2 linked regions of the Diceros bicornis minor genome follow. The protein of the gene in region 1 interacts with the protein of each later gene in a biochemical or structural test. Links are inferred from orthologs where the notes say so. Each region holds a gene or a part of one and is shown on either strand. Other genes may lie near its edges.

The links.
Region 2: of the proteins of DAPK3 (region 1) and PAWR, one has a biochemical effect on the other in vitro, tested with the Homo sapiens proteins (2 studies listed by BioGRID). The link is inferred for Diceros bicornis minor from reciprocal best matches to the Homo sapiens genes DAPK3 and PAWR.

What each region holds. Positions count from the first base shown.
Region 1 is NW_026691553.1:3,018,480-3,027,383, reverse strand, and holds the start of DAPK3 (death-associated protein kinase 3), read left to right. Parts: upstream 1-3,624; 5' UTR 3,625-3,670; intron 3,671-4,616; 5' UTR 4,617-4,711; coding exon 4,712-4,773; intron 4,774-8,904. UniProt on the Homo sapiens protein: Serine/threonine kinase which is involved in the regulation of apoptosis, autophagy, transcription, translation and actin cytoskeleton reorganization. Involved in the regulation of smooth muscle contraction.
Region 2 is NC_080764.1:40,239,579-40,248,482, forward strand, and holds the start of PAWR (PRKC apoptosis WT1 regulator protein), read left to right. Parts: upstream 1-4,326; 5' UTR 4,327-4,396; coding exon 4,397-4,918; intron 4,919-8,904. UniProt on the Homo sapiens protein: Pro-apoptotic protein capable of selectively inducing apoptosis in cancer cells, sensitizing the cells to diverse apoptotic stimuli and causing regression of tumors in animal models.

The sequences.
Region 1 (8,904 bases):
CAGGATTCAATCCGGGATAGATACTGCATTGCAGCTAGTTTTGTACATTTTAACTTTTTTTGTGAGGAAGATCGGCCCTGAGCTAACATCTGCCAGTCCTCCTCTTTTTGCTGAGGAAGACTGGCCCTGGGCTAACATCCGTGCCCATCTTCCTCCACTTTATCTGGGACCCCGCCACAGCATGGCCTGACAAGTGGTCCGTCGGTGCGCACCTGGGATCCGAACCTGCAAACCCCGGGCCGCCGAAGCGGAGTGTGGGCACTTAACCCCTACGCCACCAGGCCAGCCCCTGTACATTTTTAATACCAAATAATTTTGCCAGAGATATGACTATATAAATTGAGAAGATTGAACTGCATTTTGTTGAACTACAAGAATTTTTCACCACTTCCAAATACTGATGGCAAGGCCACTGTGGTATTTGGCTTGCTAATACAGCACCTCTGTGTCAACGTGCATTTATAGCTGCTGCATGCACGGTGATTCCATTTCTGGGGGCTGCCATCTGGTGACTACGTTGTGTCTTCTGAGTAATTCCACCCGAGCTTAGACATGTTACAAATATGTGTGTGCGCGCGCGTGTGTGTATTGCTCCCTACCTAGATTTGTTTCATTTTATTTATCGATTTTAGTTAAATGGTGTTATTTTTGTGATTGCTCCAGGCCAGCAGTTCCCAACTTTTTGATGTCAGGACCCTTAGACACTCTGAAACGTTACTGAGCTTTTGTTTAAACAAATTGCTTTTGTTTAAACGGGTTCTCTCTGCTGATATTCACCATATTTTGAAATTAAAATTGAGAAATTTCAAAAATAGTAATGAATTTATTTTGAAATAACAATAACAAACCCATCTCATTTAACATAAATAGCAAATAACATTTTTATGGAAGAAAAACTATTTCCCAAAACGAAATAATAGAAGAGTAGCATTGTTCTACATTTTTGCAAATCTTCGAAATCTCTGGCTTCATAGAAGACAACTGGATTCTTTTTTTTTGTGAGGGAGATCAGCCCTGAGCTAACATCCATGCTAATCCTCCTCTTTTTGGTGAGGAAGACCGGCCCTGAGCTAACATCTATTGCCAATCCTTCTCCTTTTTTTTTCCCCCCAAAGCCCCAGTAGATAGTTGTATGTCATAGTTGCACGTCCTTCTAGACAACTGGATTCTTATATCTGCTTCTGTATTAAATCTGTTATGTTGTTTTGGTTGAACTATTTGGAGAGAATCAAGCCTCACTCATTCCCATACTTGGAAAAGAGAGAAGCATTTTAGTACTTTTTTCAGCTAATTGGGCATGTTCTTTTATACAACACCAAAACTCAACAAGTGCTGGTTTCTTAAGGAGTAATTACAATGTGGTATCTGAAACCATACTAATGAACTTTTCGTAATTGTTACATTAAAATCCATTGGTCTGTCTTGCACTTTGAATGAGTCTTTGCTTCCCACATGATTTTGTAACATCATGCGCTGGTTATGTAGCAATATTAGTAGTAAACCAGGACCGGCCCTGTGGCATAGCGGTTAAGTGCGCGCGCTCCGCTGCTGACGGCCCGGGTTCGGATCCCCCACACGCACTGATGCACCGCTTGTCGGGCCACGCTGTGGGGCGTCCCATATAAAGTGGAGGAAGATGGGCACGGATGTTAGCCCAGGGCCAGTCTTCCTCAGCAAAAACAGGATGATTGGCATGGATGTTAACTCAGGGCTGATCTTCCTCACACACACTAAATAAATAAATAAATAAACAGATAAATAAATAAATATTAAACAAAAAAAAAGTAGTAAACCAAGTTTGCAGTTCTTCCAGATGTTGGCACATTTCATTAAACCATACCGAAAAATCGCATTTGTTACTATCAATTTCATTAGGCAAGTGTCGAGGTATCGGGAAACTGTCAGGTGTCAAAAAATTTAATATTTTGCTTGAAAGCTCAAATGTTACCGTCGGCAACAAATACTGTCAACCGTTTCCCTTGAAGTGACAGGCTCAATTTGTTCATTTTTGAGAAAATGTCTGCCAAATACCCAAGTCTGAATTACTATAGTTTGTCAGTTGTTTTTTTCAAGGAAAAATGGTGTTCCAACCCCTCACTCACTACGTGTGGGCTGTGCATACGTAACTTGCTTCCAATGAATATCGTACAGAAAAGGGAGGAAAAAAGAGTGACTTTATAGTGGAGAAACCTGACGAGCCAGGGGACCAAGGTCAACATAAACAGTGACAAGTCACATGGATGGAATAGACCCCGATATGATGGGGTGAAAAGGGCACTTTACCTCTGGGGTCCTCCGCCTTAAAACCCATCACCCCAGTCCAACCATGAGAAAACAATCAGACACACCCCAGTTGAGGGACATTCTACAAAATGCCTGTCCAGTCCTCAAAACTGTCAAGGTCATCAAAAACAGGAAAGTCTGAGAAACCGTCACGGCCCCAAGGAGCTTAAGGACTAAATGTCATGTGGGATCCTGAAACGGAAGAAGGGCGTTAGGAAAAACAAGGAATCCGAGTAAAGCGTGGACTTGGTTAAGAGTAACGTGTCGCTGTCGGTTCATTAGTTGTGACAAATGTACCATGTTAGTGTATGATGCAGTAACAGGGGAAACCGGGTGTGGGAGAAGGCACTGCTTTCGCTGTGAACTGGAGTGTGTGTAGGGGTTAAGTAAGAGGGGAGGAAGGCGATCTCCAGGCGGAAGGAACAGCTCGTGCCAAGACCTTGGGTAGGAATGAGATGTTTGAAGTCAGAAGGAACACAAACGGGTTTGGAGTGCAGTGAGCAAGGGGGAGACCGGCGCTGATGTTAGGGTGGTCGGCAAAGGCTGAAAGATATAGGGTCTTGTGTCCAATGGCTTCTGAGGTGGCTTGGGGTTCGGGCCCATCTGGGAATGAATCTCAGTCCTGCCATTTACCCGCTGTGTGACTTTGAGTGAGATACCTAACCTCTCTGGGTCTCAATTTCCCCCTCTGTAGAATGGGGGAAATATTAATATATTCTTCCTCCTAAGGTTGTTGATTGGTACATGCTAAGGCTCAATAAACGCTGTTATTATCATGTATCTTGAGAAGAACAGGAGTCGCAGAAGGAGCCTCAAGCATGCATGGCAACACCTGACTGGTCTCCTCACTTGCGTTTTTATTTATGTATTTGGAATAGGGGTAACGTTTTACAGGGGAGGAAACCGCCACTCAGGGACTAAAGCAGCCCTGGGGTCCATCCCCGGAGCTGCCACGCCGGAGCTGGGCTTTGGATTCGCGTACTCTGCGCCCAGAAACCCAGGAATATCGGGGGGCAGGACTTCAGCCTCGCGCCTCCCAGCTTCAGGACCCCGGTCAGAGGAGATAGGGCGGGGCGACCCAGGGGCCGGAAGTCGGTCTGCAGACTTACGAAAGCTTGACGGGCGTCAGTTACAGCCAATCAGCTGCGGGGAGGTGAGCCTGTTGGCCAATGGCGAGGCGGCATCTAGGTGCGGAGGGCCGGACGCCTTCGGGCCTGGGCCGGGAAGGCTGCGGTGGGCGGGGCGTCACGAGCGGCGGGCGCGCTGACCAATGGGCGGTGAGATCCGCCTCCGGGGGCGGGCACTAGCGGACGCGGTGACGTCATCGCAGGTCAGCACGTCGCAGGGGCCCAAGGAGGCGGCGGCGGCCAGCGCGGCGGAGGGACCGGTGAGCGGAGGGTGCGGAGCGGGCTCGGCCCTAGGCCGGCGGGTGAAGGGGGCCCTGGGGGACGTAGGGCGACGTCTGGGGAGTCCTGGGATGACCGGGCCGGAGAAGGGGCTGGGCCGGGGCCTGCGGGGGGCGTGGCGGCCTCGGGGACGCTGCAGCAGGGACATTAGGGATTGGGGAGTCCTTGGAGGGGTCGCTGAAGGGGTCATCGGGGTCTGCCCTGGAGCTCGTGCGAGGGTTGGGGGCGAGAGACCGTGGAGGAGGCTCAGATGTGGCCCTTTGCGGGGGCCCTTTGTTTGGGGGTGGGGGAGACTGGGGTGGGGCCCTGATACCTGGAGGGGTGCCTTCGAGGAGGGGGCGGTCAGGGGGAGGCAGGAGTGGGGAGGGGCTTGCAGGAAGCCGCTGTCCAGTTCCTGGGAATTCAGGGTGCGGGGAGAACACCGCTGAGGAGGGTCTTAAGAGACCGGCCGAGGTTGGGGGGCCCTGGGGGGGAGAGCGTCAGGACGAGGGGGGTTGGAGGTCGCTGATGGGCAGGGAGATGGGAGCGTGCGGGACTGGAACTACTTAGGAAGCTGGGCAGGAGTCCCGGGGTCTGGGGGTGTGGAGACTGGGGGAGCTTGCAGGAATGTGTGGGGCCTCTGGATGAGCAGGTTGGGAGAAGGCAGAGACAGGTGGGGGCAGTGTGTGGGGAGCCAGAGGTAGTGCCTGGCGGGAGTTATGGGGGCGAAGGTGGCACAGTGGGGCTCACACCGACCTTTTGGGGGGCACGGTGTCTAAATGAGATGCCACGGGAAAGTGGCCGGCTCGCTAAACGCACGTGCCCCCTGAGGACAGTGGGCCTTCAGCGTGGAGTGATGTGAGACCTATCTTTGGCGAGCAGGTGGCTCCGTTTACCTAGGAGTAGTGGCATCTCATTCCTTCTTTCCTGTGTCTCTGTCTCCTCCAGGGTCACAGCGAGGGGACTCCCCGAGGTCCCGTCCCCAGGCTGCAGTGACTGGGCTTTCACTGGAGCGGAAGGTGCTGGAAGGCAGACCGGCCACCATGTCCACATTCAGGCAGGAAGATGTGGAAGACCACTACGAGATGGGGGAGGAGCTGGGCAGGTGAGCAGGCCCCTCTGACGGGGCTCTGGGGCTGGGGGAGGCACTGCGGGGTTTTCTGGACAGTATCTCCCGTCCTGTCCTTTGTTCTGTTCTCCAAGATGGAATGAGTCAGGGGTGTGTGCTGGTGGAACGAGTTTGGGCTTTGGAATCAGACAGCCCTGGCCGTGAATTCCTGCTCTGACATCCTCTGTGCGTTTCCTTTGGGAAGAAACGTAACTGAGTGTCTTTGGCACCGAATGCGATGCCTGGCAAGTGGTGTGAGAGCAGTTGGGTTAGCAGTTTCTGTCTCTTTAATCCTCTCGTGTGGGAGGCATTTACGTCTCCGCAGCTCTTGAACACACGTTTCCAGGGAAGGCCTCCTGTCTGGGCCCCCACGCCTGCCGATTGTGAGCATTCTTGTGGGAAAAAGCGGAGGTTTCCCATTCCAGCCGGGCAGCTGATTTCCTGCCTGGCCGGGCCTTGCCGGGTCCCCTGGGAACTCGCCTGCCTCAGACCAGTCAGGCACCATTCTTTTTTTTTTTTTTTTTCCCAGAGCCTCAAACCTTATTTGGTGAGTTTGTTGCTGGCCAGCCTTCCTGATCTGCCTTGGCCGGCCCCATGATGTCACCAGAAAGGAATGTAAATAACTCAGCCCCGCCTCAGGCCTTTTCGGAGAGAGTGGCTCCTTTGGGATCCTGAAGTGCTTCCTTTAGGAATTTCCTCTGTTAGAGAGGTAGCGAATGCAGCCTCCACCTCCCGCCCCCCCCCCCCAAAGAAATCTCATATTTTATTGTTGAAAATGTGTTAGGACCTCCTACTGAGGGTAGTTTGGCAAAAATCAGCAAAATGTCACATGTATGTTCTCTTTAACCCATCGATTCCACTCCCAGGAATGAATTCAGTGGAAATACGTGCTACACGGATCAATGACCTAGGAATAGGAGTAGATGCTATAGGGATTTTATATGAGTGAAAGATGGGAAGCCTCTTTGGGCCGTTACAGCAACACCACATCCGTTAATGGAACATTATGCAGCCGTTAAAAAGAGCCAGGCAACTCGTCTGATGTGGGCCACATAGGAAATTTATTGAAGTTTTCTAGATAAACTGAGGATGAGAGAAGGGAAGGGACTTGCCCAAGGGCACACAGACTGTAAGTGGCAAAGGAGGATTCAGACCTTGAGACAAAGCCCCCCTGGCTCCAGAGCCCAGGTGCGCTGGAATCAGAGGTGGGCACCTGGTTCCCGTCTGCCCGACAGCCAGCTCTGCCCTCGTATCCCGGGGTTGGGCCCATTTGATGTCCAGACGAAGACGAGCCCCTGACCTGAGTGTTGGGAAGAGAGTGTGTGCTCACGCCCAAAACATCGTCCTCTTTCGGGCGCGCGCTTTGCCCCTCTGAGGTTGGCCGCTGTGATCAGCTCTCGGTTTCAGAGGAGGGAACGAGCTGCAGTTCAGTGTCGAGCAGAGCTGTCTTTCCCGAGCCTAATTATCAACTGTCTTTGGGGAATTAGCTGCCGGAATCACCGTGGGGACAGACCTCGAGTAAAGCAGGGCCACCTTGTCTCGTCCCAGGGGTCACAGGGCTCAGTGAACTGGGAGCGAGTTTCTTTGTGTGTGTGTTCTCAATTCAAATTCGAATCGACACTCTCAGGAAATAAATTAATCCGTGGTGGCTGAGTCTGTGGGCTTCCACGTCGTGGAGTGGCGGCACGTCTGTGTTAGTGAGCTCCCACTGTCGGAGCTCAGTGCCCCGGACGAGGGGCTTAAACAGCAGACGTGTATTCTTTCCCAGTGCTGCAGGCTGGAAATCCAAAATCTGGGTGTCGGCAGGGCAGGTTCCCTCTGAGGCCTCTCTCCTTGGCGTGTAGACGGCCGTCTCCCGGTGTCCTCACGTGGTCCCCCTCTGTGCGTGTCTGTGTCCTCCTCTCCTCCTCTTATAAGGACACAGTCCTATTGGTTAGGACCCACCCTAATGACTTCTTTTAACTTAATCACCTCTTTAAAGACCTGTCTCCAAACGCAGTCACATTCTGAGGTCCTGGGGGTTAGGGCTTCAACATACAGATTTCGGGGGGACCCAGTTCAGCTCACAACAGCATCTTTTGACCTGTTCCCATGATCTCGGTCTTACTCATCTTTATGTGTGAGTTCAGCTTGGAATCAAGCTGGAGGAGAGCAGTCCTTGTATTGGAAATTCAGGCCACACGTCCAGTGCTCAGCACGGCGTGGCGGACACTCGGCCTGTGATGTCATTGCCGTCAGGGAGTCTTCGTGGGGTGGGGGGCGGGCCTGGAAGAATTCGCTTGGCTGATGTAGGCAGAGGGGCGGGGGGAGGCATTTCACGTGGGGGGAGTGTTAGCCCAGACTTGGAGGGGCAGGAGCATAGTGGACCTGGGGGCTGTTGTGGCAGATTGGGGAGTGGGGGGCAAGGCCTGAGCGGGAACACTTAGCCTTTCTCGTCTCACCTGTGTCCCTGGCTTTTAGGTTAGTGTTGGAGTTTCCTGTTGCTGCCGTAACAAACTACCACAGTTTAGTGGCTTACAAGAGCACGCATTGGTTATCTGAAAGGTCTGGGGCTCCGGAGTCTAAAATGGATCCTCAGGGCTGGTCCTCCGGAGGCTCCAGGGAGAACCGTCTCCTGCCTTTTCCAGCTTCTAGAGGCCGCGTCCTGGGCTCGGGGCCCCTTCCTCCGTCTGCACAGCCCGCAGCGCAGCGTCTCCCGTCTCTCAGCCTCTGACCCTCCTCCTCCCTCTGATGGGGACCCTGTGGTGACACTGGGCCCCCGGGGATCCAGGGTCATCCCCATCTCAGGGGCCTTGACTTAATCCATCTGCAAAGTCCCCTGTGCCGTGTGAGGTGACGCATCCACAGGTCCCAGGATTTGGACGTGGACGTCTTTGGAGGGGCCATTATTTCATCTACCATGGTCAGTCATGATTTTGCACCTCCCACCTGCCCACCTCGAGCTTCACCCACCTCCTGACCCCCCGAGTGTGTGCAGAGCACACCCGTGGTGGCCCGCCCTGGGTGCTCCTCGTGTGGTGCTGGTGCGGGCGTGGCTTAGGTGCCTGCCAGCTGCGGTGGTCCTGGGCTCCCAGGGAAGGTCCGCTTGCTGAGACGCATGTCTCAGGTCCCAGTCAGGTCGCTTGGCTTTTCTGGGAGCCCCTCTGGCGTGGCACAGGCGCCCCTCACTCGTCTGTCTGTCTCTGGTTCTGCCTGGCCTGTCTTCCCTCTGCCGCCACCAACTTCAGGGACCCCTCCTGTCCCCAAGGCCCGTCTCCGCTGTTCCTTCCTCTACATGCTGTCCCCCGTTTCCCTGAGGTGTCGCGTAGTCCCTTCTTCTTGACGCTGACGGTGCCCTGCTGGCGTTCCGTCCGGGGCACGCGCTTGCTCCCTGGGGATTGGCCCGTCCACTGACGTGTGCGTTCCCGTATCCTCTTGGTGCCGGCTCAGCGACCACCGCCTGTGGGCCAAATCCCACCCTAGCCACTTCGTGCAGCCCGCTCGTGGATCTGGAATGGGCTTTGACTGTTTTTAAGGGTTGTAAAAACGTGCAGGAATTGTGACAGAGGCCACATGGCCCGTAAAGCTTGAAATATTTACTGTCTGGCCTTTGTCAGTCACCTCTTGAGTTACAGCAAGTTAACCTAAGCGAGTTCCTAGACAGCAAAGGAATTCGGACACTGGGCAGCTCCCTGGGGGGCAGTAAATAGACTTTCTCTCTCTCGGTAACGGCTGTCTTGAGATATAATTCACATACCGTACAGTTCTCTCATTCAAAGTGTACAACTTAATGCTCTTTAGTACATTCACAGAGTTGTGCAACCATCACCACTAGATAGTTCCAAAACATTTCCATAATCCCAAAAAGAAACCCCATCCCATCAGCAGTCACTCCCCATCCCCTCCCCAGCCCCTGACACCCATGAACCCACTTTCTGTCTGCGGACGTGCCTGTTCTGGACATTTCACATCAATGGAATCACGCACCGTGTGTCCTTCTTTGTCTGGTTCTCTCCCTGAGCATCGTGTGTTCAAGGTCCATCCGCGGTGTAGCTGTGTCGGGGTTTAACTCCTTTTCATGGCTGCATAATGTTCCAGTGTGTGGATGGACCACACTGTGTTTATCCATCATCCATTGATGGACATTTG
Region 2 (8,904 bases), on another chromosome or scaffold:
TTGGTTTTCTCAACAGCAACTCTGAAAACTAGAAGACGATATAGTGATGCATTCAAAATTATGAAGGAAAATGATTTCTAGCCTAGAGTCCTACGCCCCACCAGACAATTACGCAAGTGCAGAGATTAATTAAAAATGTTTTCCAAATGCAAGTTCTCCAGGAATGTGTAATCCTATCCCCAGAATATGAGGATGTACTCCACTAAAATGAGGGGAAAAAACAAGAAAGAGGACAATATGGGATTCAGGAAACAACGAGTCTGCACAGGAAATGATTCCCAGTATGACCACGGAGCAACGAGCCTTAAAATCAATCCAGACTAGAGCAGGGGATGGAGGGCTCCAGGAGAGATGTCTCCAAGAAAAAGAGAAATAGAACTACGGATTACCCGACATGATTAAGTGCATTGAGAGGAGGAAAGTTTGGGTGTAAATTTGTGAGTGGTATATAGAAAATATTAAGCCAATGATTAAAAAAAAAAAAAGGCAAGTTTTAACTGCAGGAAAAAGAAATAGTTGTGCAATAAGGAAAAACAGTTTAAAAAAAAGAAATGCAATTATAGTGCACTGCATGGCTCAGCTGTGAACAATATTTTCATAGTCATAACACTATAAACACTGAATGTTTATTCAATAAAAATCTTGATATAAATATAGTGGGAGTTTAGGAGTAAGAAAAGTGTATGCATAGTTAGTGTAAGACAGCTACATTTTCCTCTATATTAGGAAGTCAGCAAAGGACATCTAAAAATGGAAAAAATCAAGAAGTAGAATAGTAGATAAGGACATTTAAAAATTAAATATGAATAGCTATATTAGCAGAAACAGTTAAAAGAGTTTAAAGTTCTGGGAGGGGTTTGGGGAGTGGGAAGGGTAGGTAGGGGATTGCTGTTGTTATAATCCTTGTAGAACTAAAGTATTTAACTTTTAAAACTATGTACATCTATTATTTTTCTTTTAGATGGTAAACTGCATATGCTACAGAGATATTTGCCTTGAAGGCAAAATGGCTATTTCTCAATATCCTGTTATTTATTTCAACACATACAAATAGGCTATTTCACATCATAGCTAATCCATTGCCTGGAAAACATTGACTTAACATTTAGAATAAGTTTCACTCGGACATAGTAAAATGAATCTTTTTATTTGTTTTGTTAGCATCATCATATTTCCCTTTATTATTAAGGGGAAGTGGGTCACCAAAATTATTTTAGGCTAGCTCAGAGGTTCTCAACTGGAGAAAATTTTGCCGCCAAGTAACATTTGGCAAAGTAACAACTGGGGGTGCGGGCAGCTACTGGTATCTAGTAGGTAGAAGCCAAGGATGCTGCTAAACATCCTACAATGGATAGGACAACCCCCCAAACAAAGAAATATCTGGTCCCAAATGTCCATAGTGCTGCAGTTGGGAAACCAAGCTCTGAGTCTTTGAGGATTATTTCATCAGAACACTCTACATAAAGATTGATGATATGCAAACATTTTGCAATTTAGGACTGACTCAGCTAAACATCTTGTTGCAATGTTGGAAGCAGTCTGGCTGTGAAATATCTCTGGGAATATTGAGAATGGTAAGGTAAAGACAAAAGGTATAATAAATGATAATGATACATAGTGCTTTGTACCTCAATAATCTCTTTCATCCATGGTTCTTAGGGCGCTTTATAGAGTAATAATAGCTACTCTGGTACTCACATACTACCTTTTATCTAAGGATCTCAGGCACTGTCACAACACTTTCACAAGGTAGGAAGTATTATTATCCTCATTTTATATGTAAGTAAACAGAGGCACAAATGTTAAGCAACTTGTCCAAAGCCACACAAGTCACTGGTAGCCAATCTTCTTGACTCAGAAGTCAAGAGATGCAGTGATAAATTTATGTGGCATCAGTGTTATCCTCGTTCATTCAAAGTCTATCATTTTCAAATTTAAATTGTGTATTCAGTACCTTATCTTTTTTGCCTTTCCTCCGACCCCCCACTTCTTAGAGACCCTGGACTCTGACTGATACCCTATTAATAAAAGGGACTATATTTACAGAGTACTTTCCTTGAACCAAGCACACCTAACATGCGGTGTCAATTCTTACAGTGGCTTAAAAATATATGCCAGTATTGCTGATTTTTATAGTAAAGAAAGCTGAGTTTCAGAGAATTTAAACAACATGACCAAGATCTTTCAGCTACTATGTGTCTAGGCAGAATATCTCCTTTTTTTCACTGTCTCCTGCAGCCCCTCCAAGCATATTAATGTGAATCTTTTTAATGTCCAACTCTCTCTAAAACTCAAAAAACAAAATAATGCATCTATAATTGAGGGATTTCAGGTGGTGCACCCAGGTTGGTACCAGCTAGGCTCAGCCTTTTAAATCTATTCCCAAGGAAGGCCTTTACTTTTCTAAGGATTTTTCCAGAGCTCTCTCCGTTACCCACACATGTTCACCCCAACAGCCAGACCAAAGACCAGAACTGCACGACTTCCCCTCTGAGAAATAAAGAGCATGTGAAGCACTTTCTCCTGTTCTCATTCCTGTCACAGGCACACACTGACTGCACACCCACCATGTGCCACCTGGGCGAATACTAAGTAGGAACAAAGATTTGTTAGGTAAGAGTGTGACTCAGGGCTCGCCTACTTTTCACAAAACAGTGACCTGGCATTTGTACATGTGTGCCCTACAATGATGTGCATGGCATTACTCGGATAGAGGGAGGTCAATCTCCTCAGGTGCCTGTCAGTGGCAGCCCACCCAGCCCTGATCTGGAAACCTCAGATGACTTGCAGCTGAGGGTAAGATTTTCCCTATGGTGTGTTAAGGATGGGAAAAGAGTGAGCGCCCCAGCTCATATCAGATGAGCATTAGGGCAGCTTTAGTACTTTGGGAGGGAGCTTTGCTGCTAAATTCACTATCTGTAAAGAGTGGTGTAGAGACAGGGTTAAGAGGAAAACTCCAAATTCATTGGGATCGCCAATACAATACACTGTCGAAATGTTAATTTTTTCCTGCAAGCCTAAGATAATAGTAACCCGGTGATAATTCACTGATAATTTAAGCCTCTCCTTTTAGCTGACGCTTTCACCAGAAGACCACAGACTTTTCTTAGAAGGAGGATGCTGGGTTTGTTTCAATTCCTTCTGCTCTCCTGCCTGCCACCCTAGTGCATCTGAAGAGGGCACAGCGACGAGGAAAAGGGACGCGCGAGCGTTTTCCCATCCTGGCTACTCCGGCCCTGAATCATCGCAAGTTGATGGTACTTTTCCCTCAGCCAGCAGCATTCGAGACTTTCCCTCGAAGAATGTGTCTTGTACTTAAAAGGAAGAGTGGCGGGAGCCGCGAGAGGCGGAGAGGAGGACGGGGTGAGGGCGTGCAGGGCCGCTCCCGCCCCGGAGCCGGCGGCGCCGGGAGGCCGGCCGCCGCGAGGCCGCGAGCCCAGGAATGTGCGCTGCGGCCCGCGGGCGCGGGGCGGGCGGCGGCGCCGCGCACCTGAGCGCCGGGGGCGGGGCGTCGGCAGACCCGACCTCCCCCCGCGCGCCGCGCCCCTCGCGCCCGGCTCGGCCCTTTCCGCCCGCGCTTCGGCGCCGCTCGGCTCCCCTCCGCCCCTCGTTCCCTCCCAGCCCGGAGAACCGCGAGCTCCGGCCGGCGGGTTGCTGCCGCTCGTTCCTTGCGCGCGGCCGCCTCGGCTCACCTGGGCGCCCGCGCCCGCGCCCGGGCCCCGCGCCTCGTCCCCCCAGCTCCTCCCAGGTAAGCGGCTGCCCCGGCCGCCCGCGCTCCACGCGCGCACTGTCCCTCCCCACTCGGCCGGACGGCTGGTGTCTCCCCGCGTCCCGCCTCCTCCGCGGGCAGCCTGGGGGCTCCGCGCCTCGACCCGGGCGTGGGGTGTCGGGGCGGGGACCCCGGGCCGGCGGCGGCCGGAGCGAGGGGCGGGAGCTGCGACGGGCCAACAGGTGGCGGGGTCTGGCCCTGGTCCCCCGACCGCCGCGGGCGCTGACCCGGGTGGGGATGGGGGCGGGCGGGCCGGGGGTGGGGACAACCCCTCTCTCCTCCCCTCGAGGGGCGGCGATCGCCCGGCCCGCCGTGTAGGTGCGTCGGAGAAACTTTGCAGGGTGGGGACTCGGCGGCCGCGGCTGGCGGGGCGAGTGGGCGCGCTCTTTGGGGCTCGGAGGGGCGCGGCCGCGGGCAGACCCTCGGGCCGGGCGAGGACCTGACGCCTCCCTTCCCCGCCCCCTTTTGTGTTTCCCCCCAGACCGGCCGGCCGCTGGGGGAGCCGCGGCCGCCCCCGCGCCGGGGGTCGTTGCCTCGCATCCTCCGGGCGGCGGGAAGGAAGAGGCGGCGGCCGCTGCAGCCGGGGCGGGCGGCGTGAGGTGAGCGCCGGCCGGCCCCGCTGGGAATATGGCGACCGGTGGCTACCGGGCTGGCAGCGGCGGCAGTGGCAGCACCACCGACTTCCTGGAGGAGTGGAAGGCGAAGCGCGAGAAGATGCGCGCCAAGCAGAACCCCCCGGGCCCGGCCGCCCCGGGCGGGGGCAGCGGCGACGCGGCCGGGAAGCCCGCGGCGGGGGCTCTGGGCCCCTCGGCGGCCGCCGTGGCCAACGAGCTCAACAACAACCTCGCGGGCGGCGCGGCCGCACCTGCCGGGCCCGGGCCCGGGGGCGTGAACTGCACCGGGGGCCCCGCGGCGCCGAGCCGGGCCGCCCCGGGCCCGCGGCGCCCCGAGGACGAGCCCCCCCCCGCCGCCGCCGCCGCCGCCTCGGGGTCCCCGCCGGCCCGGGGCGACCAGGAGGAGCGGGACGGCGCCCCGGAGAAGGGCAAGAGCTCGGGCCCCAGCGCCAGGAAAGGCAAGGGCCAGATCGAGAAGAGGAAGCTGCGGGAGAAGCGGCGCTCCACCGGCGTGGTCAACATCCCCGCCGCGGAGGTGAGCGGGCGGGCCGCGCCGGACCTGGGGGCGGCCGCCTTGTGAGCCGGAGCTCCCCGGGCCCAGGGGTCCCCCTCCGGCTCGTACTTCTTCTCCTTTCGCCGAGTTAGGCGGGCAGAGGGTGATGGAGTTTTCCTCTGGACAAATGCTTCCTGGGAAGAGTTCCCCAAACCCAATAGGACACGTGCTTTTTAGGCTTCTTGGCGAAGGTCTCAGCCCCAGGGTCCTTCTTCAGAGTGGTGGGAAGACCACTCGTAGCTCCGGAACTTGTCCCCCTAGACTTGTTTATGCTTGATCAGTTAGAAAAATTGGTCAGTGGTGATGACGACATACTCTAGCTTCCCACGTGACGGTCTGAAGTTATCAGATTGTTTATCTCCTCTTTTCTCTTAATAGTGTTTAGTAGCACCTGTGAAGAAAACGTGGCCTTAGCACTATCCAGGACAGCTTTATCTTTTTATCTTTCTTTGAACCCAAGATAGATATATCCAAATGAGTATATGCACTATTTTATGTATAAACTAGCTTTTGTAGATGGCAGTCTCCAACACGCACACACACACACTCCGTCTCTTTCTGAGTGATGTTTAGGACAGTAGGAACGCTGTAGCAACCCACAGTTCTTTTTGCTAAGATGATCGCCTATTTAAATATTTGGCTGTGTGTATTCTGGAAAACATTTGCGGTAGGGTTGGTTTCTTTTTTTTTTTTTTGGTATTTTGAGGAATCTCAAAACATTTCTGCAGGCAGCAGCATCTTCCCATTAGAGTGACTGGTGAAACATTTTTCCTTAGCATATAGCCGCACCTCTCTCTACCTTCAACAAAACAAAACAATCCTAAACAAGTTTTGATTACTTTAGTAGCAGCTCACCGGTTTGGGGAAGTAATTCAACAACCTTGTTTCACCCAAAGTAGTTGCATCTTTTTCTCATTGGCTCTTTAGGTTTTAAATTTTTTTTTTTTTTTTGCTTTTGACCTTTTAATTTATTCAACTTTGACACCCAGTAAGTAATTAATAAGAATTTACTAATTTTAATTGTGGTTTAAGTAAAAGCATTTGCAATAAGTTAGGGTGTGTATATCAAACATATCCAAGTTTTTAAGTCTTAATATGAGTTCCATACCTGGAAAATCAGTGTTTGTCTTTGAAGGGTATATTTTTACATGAATGTTTCAGAGAGATTTTTATCAGCCAGCAAAACTGTCCTCTGCGGTTTGCTACTTGCACAAAAGATCTGTTATTCATTAAATTGCTTTAAAAGGAATTCATAAGAGTGGTAATCAAATTTCTAGGATTTTTTTTTTTAGTTAAAAATAGGAAGGTTGAGGGAAAACTGAAGACAAGGCTTTGGAAAAGCTGCATTCCTCAACTTTATTTTTAAAAGGAGCTGATGGTCCAAATAAAAGAATTTGTCATTTTCAATCTTTTCCTCATTGTTCATCTGTCAGGGGTCTTATTTTGGGAAATATCTTGGCAGATGTTAAACTTCATTTCTTGTTTGGCTGCTTGTGCTAAAATTGTTATTTCTCAAGTACCTTTTTTTGTTTCTGTTTTTTAACAAGGGTAATGTTTACTGGGGGAAATAAGTATGGCGTATTTTGTGAGATCCTAAGAAACATCCTTTGTTAATACTCCTGCTTTGGGTAAGGGAACATACTGCTGAGAATGTAGATGACTCCTCAGTACAATTGAGTCTAATACTCTGGAATGTTTTCCGTTTGGGTGTTGGCAACTCCTAAATTTAATCTTCCTTAAAAACAAACAACCCAGGGTACCATTTTTTTGTCTGTGGAATTTGACCCTTTTTTATTGAATAGGGAATTGAGGATTGCTTTCTTTTTGTGGTAACTTTGGCTCTATCGATTTCATGCTGTAGGACCCAACAAAACATGGTAATGTTTTACCAGTGTGTAATTAACAGGCTTACTTCTTGAGTGCCTCCTCCCCGTATTTTCAGTTTTTTAAAAACAACTTAAGACTTTCAGATTATTTTAATAGTGGTAAAACATATGACGCAAAATTTACAGGTGAACCATTTTCATATCTTTAGGTGGTTGCTTTTTTAGAATTGTGTGTCATTCACTTTTCTTAGTAGTTTCAACATTGTAATGCTAGTTGCTGTGGAGTTTGTTGTGTAATACAACTTAGTGCTTCTGTTGTAAAAAGTCATATAGTATTTTACCAAGTTTTCAGGTATGAAAATATTATAAAAGCAGAAAATCACCAATCTGTCATCAGAAGTAGACTTGTATTATGTATAATGTTGAATAAGACTTATTTTCAGACAGTATTCCCAACCAAGTTTATATTAGTAGATTAGTATGTATTTTGTATGCAAAGAGCCTATTTTAGTGGTTGATATAACATTAAGTTGCTTCAAGAAATATTTATTAAACTTCATTGTGACTTTCATTAACTTATTTTACTAATTACGGAGTATTATAAAATTGTTATAAAGATACCTGACAGCAGCTAAAGATATCAAAAGCAACTAGAAGATAGTTTTAGCAAGGAAGAAGGTCAGAAACTGAAAGTGTTGGATGGGAATGGGATACTGGGTATGTTTACTGTAATAAGAAGTGGGGATATACAGATCCTTATTAGTGAGATAAACTTTAGTTCTCATTTACTAAGAGATTTTTTTAAAAGCTTTTTTCTAAATTTTTACTTTTTCTATTTTTTTGGCATAATAGCCCAAATTGGATAATTGGTGACATACTTCCTGCCAGTAATTTTTGTATATGTTTATTAGATCAAATGTTTATTACATGTCTGTGTTCAAGACACTATCATAAGCACTGTGGAGGAAACAAGAAGAATAAGGCAGTGTATATTCTCAAGGAGCAAGACTGTGATCTAGGAAGGAGAATAAGGCAAAATTACGTGAGAAAACTTAAGTACTGAGTTAACAGTTTAAAAGTTATCTTAAGGCAGTGTAGCTAATTGTTTATTAGAAACATTGTGTGTTTAAAGGGCAGAGGTGATTGGGCTGAGAGAAGCTGTTGAGGATGAGCATCTTGAGCTGACACTTATATTTCTATACCTATGTATTTATATATATAGTCACACGTACGTGTATACATACCTGTTTGTATAGTGTTTTAAATGTCAGAGTGCAGTGGTTCTTACTGTGGCAGCACATTAATATCATGTGAGGATCTTAAAAACATGCTCCTTCATGCTGATTACTTGCCCTCTGCCTGCTTGACCTTTTTCTGATTTAATGGGTCTGGGGTGGATCCCAGGCATTAGTATTTTGATAAGCTCCCCATGTGATTCTAATGCAAGTCAAGGTTAAGAACTACTGAGCTGTGGTCTGGAGATACAGAAATGAATAGGACACGGGCCTTGCCCACAAGGGGCTTTCAAGTAATATAAGTAAACGTGGTATGTACGGTGTTAAATACAGTGTATTTCCTGAGCAGGATACCTAGCTCAAGGAGGAAAGGGATGGTTGAGGAAGGCTTCCTTTGACAGTTAGAGGCCTGTTTTCAGAGTGCTTGTGAAGTTATTGCCATTGAGTAGGTTTGCATGAAAGGATTAACAGAGATGGTTACCGTAGGAAATATAATCTTTCAATAGGTAGATGTCAAATGACACTGAAGTTTTGATTTAAATATAAAAGTTAACACATATTGAAGCTTACTATTTTCATAGTGGTTGGCTAAAGTGCTTTATGTAAAGCTGTGTGCCCATCTTCCTCCACTTTATATGGGACGCCGCCACAGCATGGCTTGCCAAGCAGTGCGTCGGTGCGCGCCCGGGATCCGAACCAGCGAACCCCGGGCCGCCGCAGCGGAGCGCGCGCACTTAACCGCTTGCACCACCGGGCCGGCCCCATGTAAAGCTGTTTTAATTAATGCTCTCAGCAATCCTGTGTGGTAGTTACAGTTACTCTTTATCCCCATTTCCAGAGGAGAAAATGGAGGCTTAGGGAGTGTGAGTGACTCAAGATCACACGGAAAGTGAATAATTGGTAGAGC